Saccharomyces cerevisiae S288C: one gene and its partners. The gene in region 4 interacts genetically with the main gene of each other region. Each region holds a gene or a part of one and is shown on either strand. Other genes may lie near its edges.

What was found.
Region 1: mutations in MRS1 (region 4) and IPP1 together harm fitness more than expected from each alone (negative genetic interaction), as found in Saccharomyces cerevisiae (one large-scale study listed by BioGRID).
Region 2: mutations in MRS1 (region 4) and PAM16 together harm fitness less than expected from each alone (positive genetic interaction), as found in Saccharomyces cerevisiae (one large-scale study listed by BioGRID).
Region 3: mutations in MRS1 (region 4) and ECM19 together harm fitness more than expected from each alone (negative genetic interaction), as found in Saccharomyces cerevisiae (one large-scale study listed by BioGRID).

What each region holds. Positions count from the first base shown.
Region 1 is NC_001134.8:256,612-259,572, forward strand, and holds IPP1 (inorganic diphosphatase IPP1), read right to left. Parts: upstream 1,365-2,961; coding exon 501-1,364; downstream 1-500. Other genes in the region: HHT1 (histone H3), read left to right, coding at 1-130.
Region 2 is NC_001142.9:225,718-228,289, reverse strand, and holds PAM16 (import motor complex subunit PAM16), read right to left. Parts: upstream 964-2,572; coding exon 514-963; downstream 1-513. Other genes in the region: SET4 (Set4p), read right to left, coding at 1,553-2,572. UniProt on the Saccharomyces cerevisiae protein: Essential component of the PAM complex, a complex required for the translocation of transit peptide-containing proteins from the inner membrane into the mitochondrial matrix in an ATP-dependent manner.
Region 3 is NC_001144.5:901,271-903,985, forward strand, and holds ECM19 (Ecm19p), read left to right. Parts: upstream 1-1,795; coding exon 1,796-2,134; downstream 2,135-2,715. Other genes in the region: STE23 (metalloendopeptidase), read right to left, coding at 1-1,390; CCW14 (Ccw14p), read left to right, coding at 2,454-2,715. UniProt on the Saccharomyces cerevisiae protein: May be involved in cell wall organization and biogenesis.
Region 4 is NC_001141.2:395,461-398,885, reverse strand, and holds MRS1 (Mrs1p), read right to left. Parts: upstream 1,593-3,425; coding exon 501-1,592; downstream 1-500. Other genes in the region: signal peptidase complex catalytic subunit SEC11, read right to left, coding at 1-153; YIR021W-A (uncharacterized protein), read right to left, coding at 160-372. UniProt on the Saccharomyces cerevisiae protein: Function in mitochondrial RNA splicing in the excision of mitochondrial group I introns aI5 beta from COX1 and bI3 from COB transcripts and thus would be involved in obtaining the correct structure of the intron, to allow the RNA catalyzed reactions to occur.

The DNA of each region.
Region 1 (2,961 bases), on a different chromosome or scaffold from region 4:
AGAATCTGTCGAAGCCTACTTAGTCTCTTTATTTGAAGATACCAACTTGGCTGCCATTCACGCCAAGCGTGTCACTATCCAAAAGAAGGATATCAAGTTGGCTAGAAGATTAAGAGGTGAAAGATCATAGTTTGTTGATTGTCATCAGTTTTAGTAAAAAACGAACAAAAACACAATAAAATATAAATCAATATATTTAGGTTTACTGGGTTCTTTAACAGTTGTATAATAGTTATTTTTTATTACAAAAATATAGGTTTTAATAAAAAAAAATAGGGTTCTATTTGTTTTACATTTATTGATTTGTTTTTCCTGGCGATACCCTCGAAAAAAGCCAGGCCTTGTAGGAGGCAAGATTTATGGCTTTCCATGTGGTTAAAGAAAAATTGCAGCAGGAAGATATTCATTCATGAGTCAGTTATATAATCGATATATAGCTACATATTAAACAACTTGAAGCCGCATACGTGGTAGGTGTCTCATTTTCAATTCAAAATATTTTAAACAGAACCGGAGATGAAGAACCACTTGTCAATAGACTTGTCAATTGGAGCATCTGCCTTTGGAGAAGCTGGTGGGATGGCATCAGAGGCAGCCTTGGAGTAGGTTGGGGTGTCAGGCAAAGTAACATTGGTCAAATCAATACCCTTGCTGTCAGAAGACTTACCAGCAATTAATTGTTTCCAGGAGTCATGTGTTTCCTTGATGATATCCAAAGCGTACTTCTTGTTCTTAGCTTCACCGGAGAAGGCAAATTGGTTTTCTGGCTTACCATCTGGGATTTTGTAAATTCTGAACCATTCGTTAGTAGCCCTCAACAGACCTGGGAAGTATTTCTCAACATCCTCAATGTCGTTCAATTTTGGGGCTAATGGATCGTTAATATCAATGGCAATAACTTTCCAATCGGTCTCACCTTCATCCAATAAAGCCATGATACCTAGAGCCTTAACTTGCTTGACTTGACCAGTGTAAGCAATAGTTTCACCAATTTCCAACACATCAATTGGATCGTTGTCACCAACTGCCTTAGTTTCTGGGTGGCTTACGTTTGGGTCTTCCCAAGTTTGTGGGAAAGCACCATAGTTGTGAATGTAACCATGGTGAGGGAAACAGTTTCTAACAAATCTCAACTTGCCCTTCTTGGTGTCTTGGATGATTGGGTTCAAAGTTTCTTCCTTGGTGATTTCTAACTTGGCGTTGGTCCAACGTGGAATTTCAACAACCATGTTGAAAATGTTGTTTTCCTTGTCAGCGTACAAGGGAATGTCGTGGAAGGCAGAAACTGGCTTACCATCCTTTTCGATATAAACTTTGTATTCCAAGGTGTTCTTGGCACCAATTTGTCTGGTAGTGTAGGTCATTAGTAAATTGCGCGGCGGGATATCCTGTTCTATAGACCTAAGGGACAACAAATCAAAATAGATGATTAAGAAAGTAAGTATTCAAAAACAAGTTGTAAATGAACTAACCTTCCTAACTTCGACGCGACCTTAAAACGTCGAAAAAAAACGAGAAAAAGTCATCATGAGACTATCGTATCTAATGACTGTGGCTTCTCCCAACAACCTTAGCGTCTGCGATGACGATATTTTGAAGAACAGTCAAATCCGTTTGAATAGTGCGCCACACAGGGATAATAATAGCACATTGGCATCTCCTTCTGTGAATGAAACACTTCTACCTGGGCTTCAAAGTCCCGCAACCTTTTAGTTACATAAAATTCGGCGGCTAAATCATGATATTATATTGATGGGTAATGTAGCGTTCAGTAAAACGGTTCCTATGTATTACTATCACGTGGGTGGGGAAGACCACATTCTTAGAGAAGAGTAATCATTTTAGCAGATTATTTTTACCTTTTTCAACTCATGAACTCATGTTCAAAGGTACAATATATTACCCTTTCTTCAAAGTATCCGAATGATTTGAACCGCACTCTGAGGGAGCCATCAAATTCTATTGAGCGACTTCGAATCGAACAATCCAATTAAATCAGCCTTTAGCGCCATATTTCTCCTTGTATCCATTGTTTACTTCTCCCTTGTATCTTGTATATGAGAATTATGGGAATAAGATAATTGTTGGGATTCCATTGTTTTCAAAGGCTGTAATATTAGGTACACAGATTATACTAGAAGTTCTTTTCGAGGATATAGGAATCCACAAAAGGAAATCGATAGTTATACATAATAATATTATTGTATCTTACTTCCTTTTATATGTTGTCACTCATTATTGTGTCGTGCATTCCATTAGATTGGATGACTGTTTCTCAATCTTTATGCCATCCTCTTACACCGCATGTGATATAATAGTAACATGAGTGCTGCGAAATAGATGATATTAAAATTTCATTCCAACAAAGTTCCATATATATCCATATATATATATATATTTCACGAGGATAATGAGTTAAAATACTATGTAAAGGTATTGTGGTTCATTTTTCTTTTATCAATTTTTATCCAAGTTTTTCTGATCTATAACATGTCCAATACACTTTTTCGAACTATAACCGCCAACAAATTTATCTTATAGACGAGAAACACTTTTATGATATCGATGTTCTACACCTACTGCCGATAACACCGTGTTTTCACTATTATAGCATATACCATTTTTGTAACCAATGTGTTGTTGTAATTCTCCGCAAGGCATATCCCAGATATTCTTATATGGCCCATTTCCACTTCGTTGAAGCCTCACATCAAAAGAGCAATCTTGAGATAATTTCAAAACCACACACATCGCTGCAGTTTCATAATATCTGTCATCACTGATGCAATAATTAAGTGACGAAATTATATCATTATTAACAGCTGTATTATTATTATAATCAAGACAAGCTGAATTTGATGCAAATATATATTCCCATTCAGTGCCGTTTCTTTCGAATTTATAGAAATCACTTCTTTGTAGGTAATTGTTCTGGCTTACTTTGAGCTTATTCATGTTAAA
Region 2 (2,572 bases), on a different chromosome or scaffold from region 4:
ATAGCTGAATGAACTTTGACTACTCCTAAACAAAGTAGTAACAATTTTCATTTCGTTTCCGGTTTCTTAGATCGAATATTATTCTGAGGAAATTCCCTGATTACATATCAGGGAAAGGTTCGCGTTTTTAGAGAATTGCGTAATGCGATTTGAAAGTTTAAATTCCTAAGCGACTCTTCTTCATGATAAGACAGTTTATATTTTGTATACTTTCTCATTCCCATAATTTGTAGTGCCTACGGGGATGGACTTGTCTTGGTACCAACTGACGGTACGTTCTGATGCTGCCTTGCTTGTGCTCCAACATTTTTTTTTTAATTTCATTTTCGTGTACGGTGCGTATATCGAGATGGCATCTGAGTATATTTACTTTGGTACATATACTAATATTAACTAAATACAAGGATGGTGGTTGAAGATTCCTAACGTACAGGAAGCAACCAACTAGGAAAATATATGCACTGCTGCATGCTTTCGATAACACTTGTGACGTAATGATGGAGGCTTCCTTGACTACTGATTGCTGCTTGCACTATTATCTGCACCAGATGAATTTGTTGAATTCGGAGGAGGTTTCGCTGTTGAAGCGTCCCCTGCTTTCGCCTTCGCATTTTTTTCTCTCTGAGCCAGTTCCCATTTTAACCTTTCTGCTGCTCGATAAACTTTGCTCTGTAAGTAGAAGCTTCCACCTTTTTCTTTATCGTTAACCTCAAATAGATAGTTAAACCTGTTATTAATCTTGTCCATGTTTAAATCGCCCTTGGATTCTTCAATATTTAAAATTTTACAACTCTCATCCAACGTAATACCACCATATTCGCCTTTTCCTGTTCCCCTTCTAGATGCATTTGTAGCACCTTGTTTCACTGATTGTGAAGCCGCTTGTCTATACGCCTCGGCGAATGCTTTTCCAAAAACTTGAGTTCCTGTGATTATAACCTGTATGAAAGCCCTGTGAGCCATATTTTATATCCAACAAGTCTATGTTTTTCTTATGCTCAAGTCACGAAGCTGTTGCCAAATTTATAGTCAGCTGAAATATGTGAATCGGATGCAAATGAGTTATAAGTTGAAGCTTCAAAATTTGCTACGTGAAAAATGATAAACGATGATGAAGTAAATAAATATCGTAAAACGAAAAACTCTCTTTTAAAAAATTCATATGTAGGAATTTCATTTGATAAGAACCTCACTCTTCATATCAAATAAGTCATTAACCTGCCATGAAATGAATTATGGAAACAATGCAGCTTTTTGAAAGGAAAAGTGCGGTGGATTTTAACGTTAAGGATCCTCTCAACTAATGATTGATGCTTAATCGTGGCATCTATAAATAAAGCATGAATTGTTCTCTATAGTTACAAAGTGGTGATTTATTATAAAAGTGTTTTGATATTCACGCTTTCAACATTAAAGCTAAAAACAAAAGAAAAAAAATGAAGACCAATGCGAAAAAAAATACCAAGATTGAAGTTTTGGAAGAAAAATTATGATGATAAAATTAAGCTTTCAAAAAAGATTAAAATGAATACTATTAATTTTAAAATTTCGTTTATGGCTTACAGTTGTGCATTATTGTATTAAAGTAAGATTTATTAGATAGGGATTCCTTCGTATTCCTCATGAATTCTTCAGAAAAGTTTTTGATTTTAGTTATTGGACAATTATGGCCCAAGTACCCACATGCACAATCACAATTTGTTAAAATAGTCTTTATTGACCCCATCAACCAGAACTTGTCGGGATCCGGTAGGGAATCCAAATCTTTAGATGCATTTATTATCTCCCAAATAGGATTTCTCAAATCCCATTGCCATTCTACGCTTATCTCTTCTCCCTTACGAATATCTCTTATAGCCCTTAAAACAAATTTAACTCTACAATCATTATCTCCTCTTGGTTTTTCGTCAAGCGGTCTTACCGTTACTAGTTCCACATTGGGCTCACAACTCCGTCTTATGTATCTTGTTAATCCGCCTGTTTCTCGAGAGTCTATATATAAAGGCCAATGTGGATGAAAAAGTACTTTAGGTTTTGTCGTTCCCATCAAACGATAGTCATTATTTGGATCTGTCTGATAATTTTTTTGAAAATCAATTTTGCCCAAATATTCTTGAATTAGCTCACCTTTAACACAAGAATCTGCAGCGAAGACTCCAAAATCTCTTTCATTTGATGATTTTCTTACCTCGATGTCAGCTGACCTTGAGCTTTCCCAGTTAGAACAAACAACCCAATCGTCATCATAATGGTTATCAATAAACATCTTAACATATTTGTCCTTATACTCTGATATTGTTATTGCTTTGAATTCCGTGTCATTGGAAGAACTTACCTCATTCAGTAGTGGCTTCAGAAAGTGGCTTGATACTACCAGTTTTTCTTGCCTCAATTTTTTCCGTATACTATTGCTATTTTCAGTTGTTGGGGCGGTATAATGAAGTTGACGTTTCTTGGGCTGTTCCTCTATGTTATTCACAGACTGTTGATGCTGATTTGTGTTCGATGCTGAAGTTGTCACTATGGATGAAAATTGAAATAATCGCTCATCTCCCATTTTTCTAGGGAATAT
Region 3 (2,715 bases), on a different chromosome or scaffold from region 4:
TGGCTAAAATTCTGCTAACAGGAATGTAATCCTTTTCCAAGCATTTTGCCAATGATGAAACTGTGGAAGATGGGCTACCAGCTTGCTTAAACTTGAAGGTAGCATTAGAGATATCTTGCAGTTCATTGAATATCCATTTTTGAGGTAGTGAGTTTTTCAACATTTCAATATACTGGAAGATCAAGACAATAACATCGCGATAGTGTGTCAACCCGTTGTCTGTTAAATCTATATCGACAGCAAAAAAAGCATTTCCTTTGGACACAGTATGCCCACCAGCAGATAGCTCATTGGCCCAGCCCAATTTTTTCAAATGTGCTAGTAATGAACCGGACCCTTCATGGCCGATTAAATGACTTAATATCCTCGGTGGCTTGGACTCCCAATGTTCCTCCATATCAGGGACAGTGAAAGAGATTTCTAGTTTTTTCAAATCTTTCACAGGACGGACTTGAATTATTTTTTGCAAATGCTCAGGCTGCATAATAGGTTCCGCATAAAGGGGTACTTCACGACCGTTATTGGCTACATCCTTGAAGAGATCATAAGTCCAATCAGAGAGAGTATCAAGGTCTTCTCTACCAAGAATACATAGCTTCATTAGGTTAGCGGAGTAAAAATTCTTATGGAATTTTAACAGTTCATCTCTAACATTTAGTCCATTTTCCTTTGGCAATGTGCCCAAAGTTTCGATGTTTCCTGTAGAAAATTTGTGATATGGATGTTTTGTATTGGTCAAAGACTTGTCTAATTGGTAAATTCTCCAAATATCATTCTGTAAGTTCTTTTTGTTTTCGCTGTTAACGGCGTTGATCTCTTTATCAGTAGAGTCCTTGTTGAAAAGAGGACAAGAGAAAAACCCTGAAAACCTGTCTAGCGCACCAAATAAATGTTGGTGATTAACCTCAAAAAAATAATTTGTGTTTTGCGATGCTGTGTAGGCATTGGATGAACCACCGTGCTTGCTTAAATAGCTCGAGTATTCGTTTTCGTCTGGAAATTTCTCAGAGCCCATGAATAAAAGATGCTCGCAGAAATGCGCCAATCCAGGTAGGTTCTTTGGATCTTCAAAGGCGCCAATATTGACGTCTAGCGACGCTGCTGCTTTATCTGCTTTTGGGTCCTGGATCAACAGAGCCTTCAGCTTATTAGGTAGCTCAATAAACCGATACGATCTTTCGTCTAAATCCGGCTTTAAAAAGTCCAGATTGAATGTCTTAAAATTGGATGTCATATTATAAGGATTTGTTGTGTAATAGCGTGATAAGCACGTGAATGGCTTGAAGCGTCTTACGGTGAAATTGAGACTGATAGGTGAGAGGTGAACCAATTGAGTGAGGAGTGGTTTAGTTACAAATGCAGAAGAAGAAGCTAAAAGAGATACGCCCATACAGAGCAATATCAAAATGAGCAAGAATGAGGTCTTCCGAATGGTTGGTTCTGACTTACTATTTGATTTCACTTTCTCTGATTCATTCAGGAAGAAAAGGGCGAAGTCCTCGAAATGAAAATTTCAACATCATTAACAGACCGGCGCGCGCCTTTACAATTTAGTATGTACGCCACCAATAAAAGCTGCTTAAACAATAAGCTAGAAAGCCCAAAGGGTGTTAAATAGTACAGCGAACCCTTCAGCAACGGTACATCAACAACCCCTTGAAAAGAATAGAGACAATACAGCTACAGTCATCCCCTTCTCTTGTATTTTTGGCCACAATTGATTGTATTACATCATATTTTGCCTGTGCGCTTCTTCTATCTTTTCCGCATAAACTAGGGGAAACGCGATGAAGAAATGGATTGGCTGAAAAATACAACAATTGTAGTGTTATTCAGTCATTCAACTGACAAAAGTAACAAACACAAGAAACGTCAAGTCCAGTGCAATATGCGAAAGAACACTTTAGATATGGTCACTATAGGTATCGCATGCCTTGTGGGAGTCTACACGGGCACGAGATTTTTCGAGCCCATTGTTATCGATAGATTGCGTAAGGATGGAAACTTGAGAACGGACATTCCCATCCCAGAATACGACGAGGACGGAAATCTGTTAAAGGTCACGCCGTCTTTATCATCCACACCAGCTGCACCACCTACACCACCTACACCTCCTACTCCACCACAACAGTAAGGAAGCGTACTAGAAAATACCTCTATACTTTCTTTTCCTGTATATAGCATCAATAGTAAAGCCATTATAACGTTACAAAAACCTATTACCCGGAAAATTACTATTTATAGAAGCATTGGACCCATGCACCACATGCATTAGGACCCATTATTTCTTTTTTACAATTTTTCCGTTAATTTTTCACGAATTTTTCACCGTTTATAAACACTCTCGAACTTATAAACAAAGGGATGATAAATAGATTTCGCCAGTTGTTAATACACACAGGGTCAAAGCTCACAGCACTACTACACTCGTTCAACACTCGTTATATATTATCATGCGTGCCACCACTTTATTATCTTCAGTCGTTTCTTTGGCATTGTTGTCGAAGGAAGTCTTAGCAACACCTCCAGCTTGTTTATTGGCCTGTGTTGCGCAAGTCGGCAAATCCTCTTCCACATGTGACTCTTTGAATCAAGTCACCTGTTACTGTGAACACGAAAACTCCGCCGTCAAGAAATGTCTAGACTCCATCTGCCCAAACAATGACGCTGATGCTGCTTATTCTGCTTTCAAGAGTTCTTGTTCCGAACAAAATG
Region 4 (3,425 bases):
CCTTTGGAAAGCTGGTTCCATGGAGCCTGAAAGCACCACCACGATCGGAGAAGCGCTATTAGTAGCAATGGCTAAGCCTTGCCAGAACATGTAAGCAGATGCAAACAAAAAGCAAACGTTCAATAGTTTCTGCAATTCAAATCTTAGATTCATCTTGTGCTAACTCCCTTGGGGTTTACTTTCCGGTATATTTCTGTAGTATATTGTTTCTGCACCATTTATTTCCTTGGAGATTATTTTTTTGAAATCGCTTTTGCCAATGGAAAAAAGTATACGTATGGTAATAATAATAAGAGCAACAGCGCTCTCTGAAATAGAAGATACCAGCAGCTTCGTGGTCTTGGGAGTCTTGCAGCTGACAGAGAATGACATTGTTGTGCAGGTGTGTCACATAAGATCTGGAAAAAACCAACAGCTACAGAAAGAACCGCCCTCACGGAGAATAAAGTCAATAGTAGCTTTTTTTTACGTACTTTCTATTTACATGCTATATAAGAGGATTATATCTTTGCGCCTTTGAGAAACTTTGAGGAACCGGCCTGAAAATGTTGTAGATTGAGCTTTTCTTGCTTAACGTAGTCGTTGAATTGCTTTAGGACGCCTGAGTCCAACCTACCATTGTCCTTCATCACAATGTCAACGAGGTTGCTATACGTACGAAGAACTTTACTCGACTCCATAGTAGCGAGAAACACCTCTGTCATATCAGATGCATCTTTTCCTGTGTCCAGGGAAAGACAATCCTTCAGGGAGAAGTTTAGGCCCGTTGTCGAGGATAGTATGGGGAATTTAAGTTTCCAGCCTTTATCCAAATGAAGACACATTAGCGGGTCGATGTCATTATCGAAGGCGGATCGCAGTAATCGCTTGGTGACAACCTCCTTTATAGTGGCACGTACCACCGGATCGTACATCTGATATTCTCGAGGTACAGAAATGGAAGGGTTTTCCTTTAATGAGACTCTTATGGGAGTCAATTCGCACCAGAAGGTGTCAATGAATTCAGGATTGCAGACAGCTGCAAGCAAACGAGCTTTTTCATTGGTAGAAGTTACGTACACTCCTTGGCATTTCGCGTATAGTAGGTGTTCTAGGATGTTTGATTGCAGTTTACAATTAAAATCCACCAGGTCTGATCGCTCTCTTTCTATAGAAACAAGATTCGTCATATTAGGAGATACACCAAGAATCGATATGATCTTTTCAGTTGCAAACAGTGTATCAACAGGTAGTAAACTGATATTCTGTCTTCTGTCAGTTGCAAATGTACTGTCAAAGGGTATTTTTTGCCAATCGACCAAGCTAGTGTTGAACTTATCATCAACGGTCATCTTGCAAAAAGAAAATGAGTCGTTTGTCAGGAAAACACTAAACAAGTTGACTTTGCCATCTTCAACGAGACGACCCCTCAACTGCTCGAAAATGCCACATCGAGAGACCAAAAAGGTTCTCAATGGCGCCTTTTTAGTGTCATACCATTCTTTTTTACTACCTAGGATCATCGACAATGATTTTAGAGTTTTAAAATTTGCTTTGCGGCAATACAAATCTATAGCCGGGATCACCGACCTTGTTATATTCTTCGGAGACATCTTTAGAGTAACCACAGATATTCAATACCAACCTATACTTCCATTGCTGCTTGTCTCACATCTAAACTTCGCCGTTTAGCGAGTTTTCATAATTTTTCACTTACCAGCACTTTTTCATTTTTCCCTTTTCCGTTGTTGAAACGGATCAAAGTTTGGAATAATAAGGATACAAAACGCCAAAAGAATGCGAACTTTCAAGCGTGGAAAAGTATCGAAAGACATTCATTCAAAAGATTCTAACGTGATTATCGTAAATAGCTGGAATTGTAGATATTTACAATGACATAGATCATTTTTCTTCGACGAAATTACGGCCTAATGTCGAGACAAGAATAATATGACGCTGATCTGTGTTTTGACAAGAATATGAATGATCTTAAGAAAAGGTTTCGCTGAATCAATTGGAAGACAGCGTCTTCAATTGTCCTACTAAATTCTTTACAGATGACATCTGGGTCTGGGGAGATCATGCAAAAAAATAAGACATCATTTATAACTTTCAACCTTCCGCTCACAGGACAAATTCTCGAAGACGCTACGGAAAGATGCTGAGCTTGATCATAATTCTTCAGGCTCCCAATTCAAGAATACAATTACTTAGCGTGGGTGCTTCTGCTCAGTCTTCGTTTCCTATCTCCACATACCAATCACTCGTTTGTTACTAATTCGAATAATTTACTGCTGTAAGGAGTCGTACCGCCAACTAAATCTGAATAACAATTTGGCTGCTAGAAGTTAAAAAGTAGGCGCTGCAATGATTATGTGGTATGATCAGATTGTGTCGCAACGCTCAGCGGGGTTTTGGCTCAATGGGACCGCTGCTAATAAAACGTTTAACTAGCGAATTTTGGAACACACCGGTTGACAAAAGTATAAGGAGTCTCTTTCCGTGAGTTCCCCTCTTCCTCTCACTGCACTTCAACTATGCCTTATAGCAACCAAGAAGCTAGAAAATGCCAACTATTAAAAAGATAACCTCTTTGGAAGCAAATAAAACGGAGATTATCTTGGGATCTATTTCACAAATTTACGGCTAATTGGAATGAACAGCGCCAAGTAGCACTGGTCAAACTGCAGAGAGTATTAGAACTTGCTTTATTCCGTATATCGTACTTTAGGTCGTCAGTTTTACCACTTCGGTACGCAAATGAAAATGAAAAGCTCATTCACAACTTAGACACAATTTCGCCGTTTACAAGTAGCTGAAAAGTCCATCTATCGAATTATGAATGATACTATTTTAAATATAGTCGTTGCTGCACTCGTTTTCCATGTTCTTTTTATCCACACATCCGATGTTTTACTTACAGTTGAGCATCTCAGGGCCAGCGACAAATATAAACATATTATACTCAAAATGAAGCTCGTTGAAAAGAGGATATTTCTTAACCTCTTTTACAGTGCTTTCAACACCTTTTCATCTGTGTGCCATGTCAGATTAAGGATGCTCAACTTTTCGAATTATTATTACAAATTTCAAAGAAATTACTAGTCCTTTTTGTCCCCTAATGTATCCCTCATTTCATACCGTCGTTTTGGGGTTCCAACTACGTATAGCTTTCAAGTGTGGTTTTACGGTAAGAACAACCCCCCATCGGTTAGTGCGGAATACTTTCCTATTCTCATCGAGAGCCGAGCCATACACCTAAGGTGGACAGAAAGCTAAAATTCCAAAACAGAAAAATCTAACATCTTTGCTCCCTTACAAGTAGGAACGCTAGCGTATCAACCCATCTCCAGATTTGCCCAGCATTTCTGTAGAACACCCAATGCGAATGAAGACTAATGAATATTGTAAAGACAAAAAATAGGAAAAGTTTAATTAGTGATGGT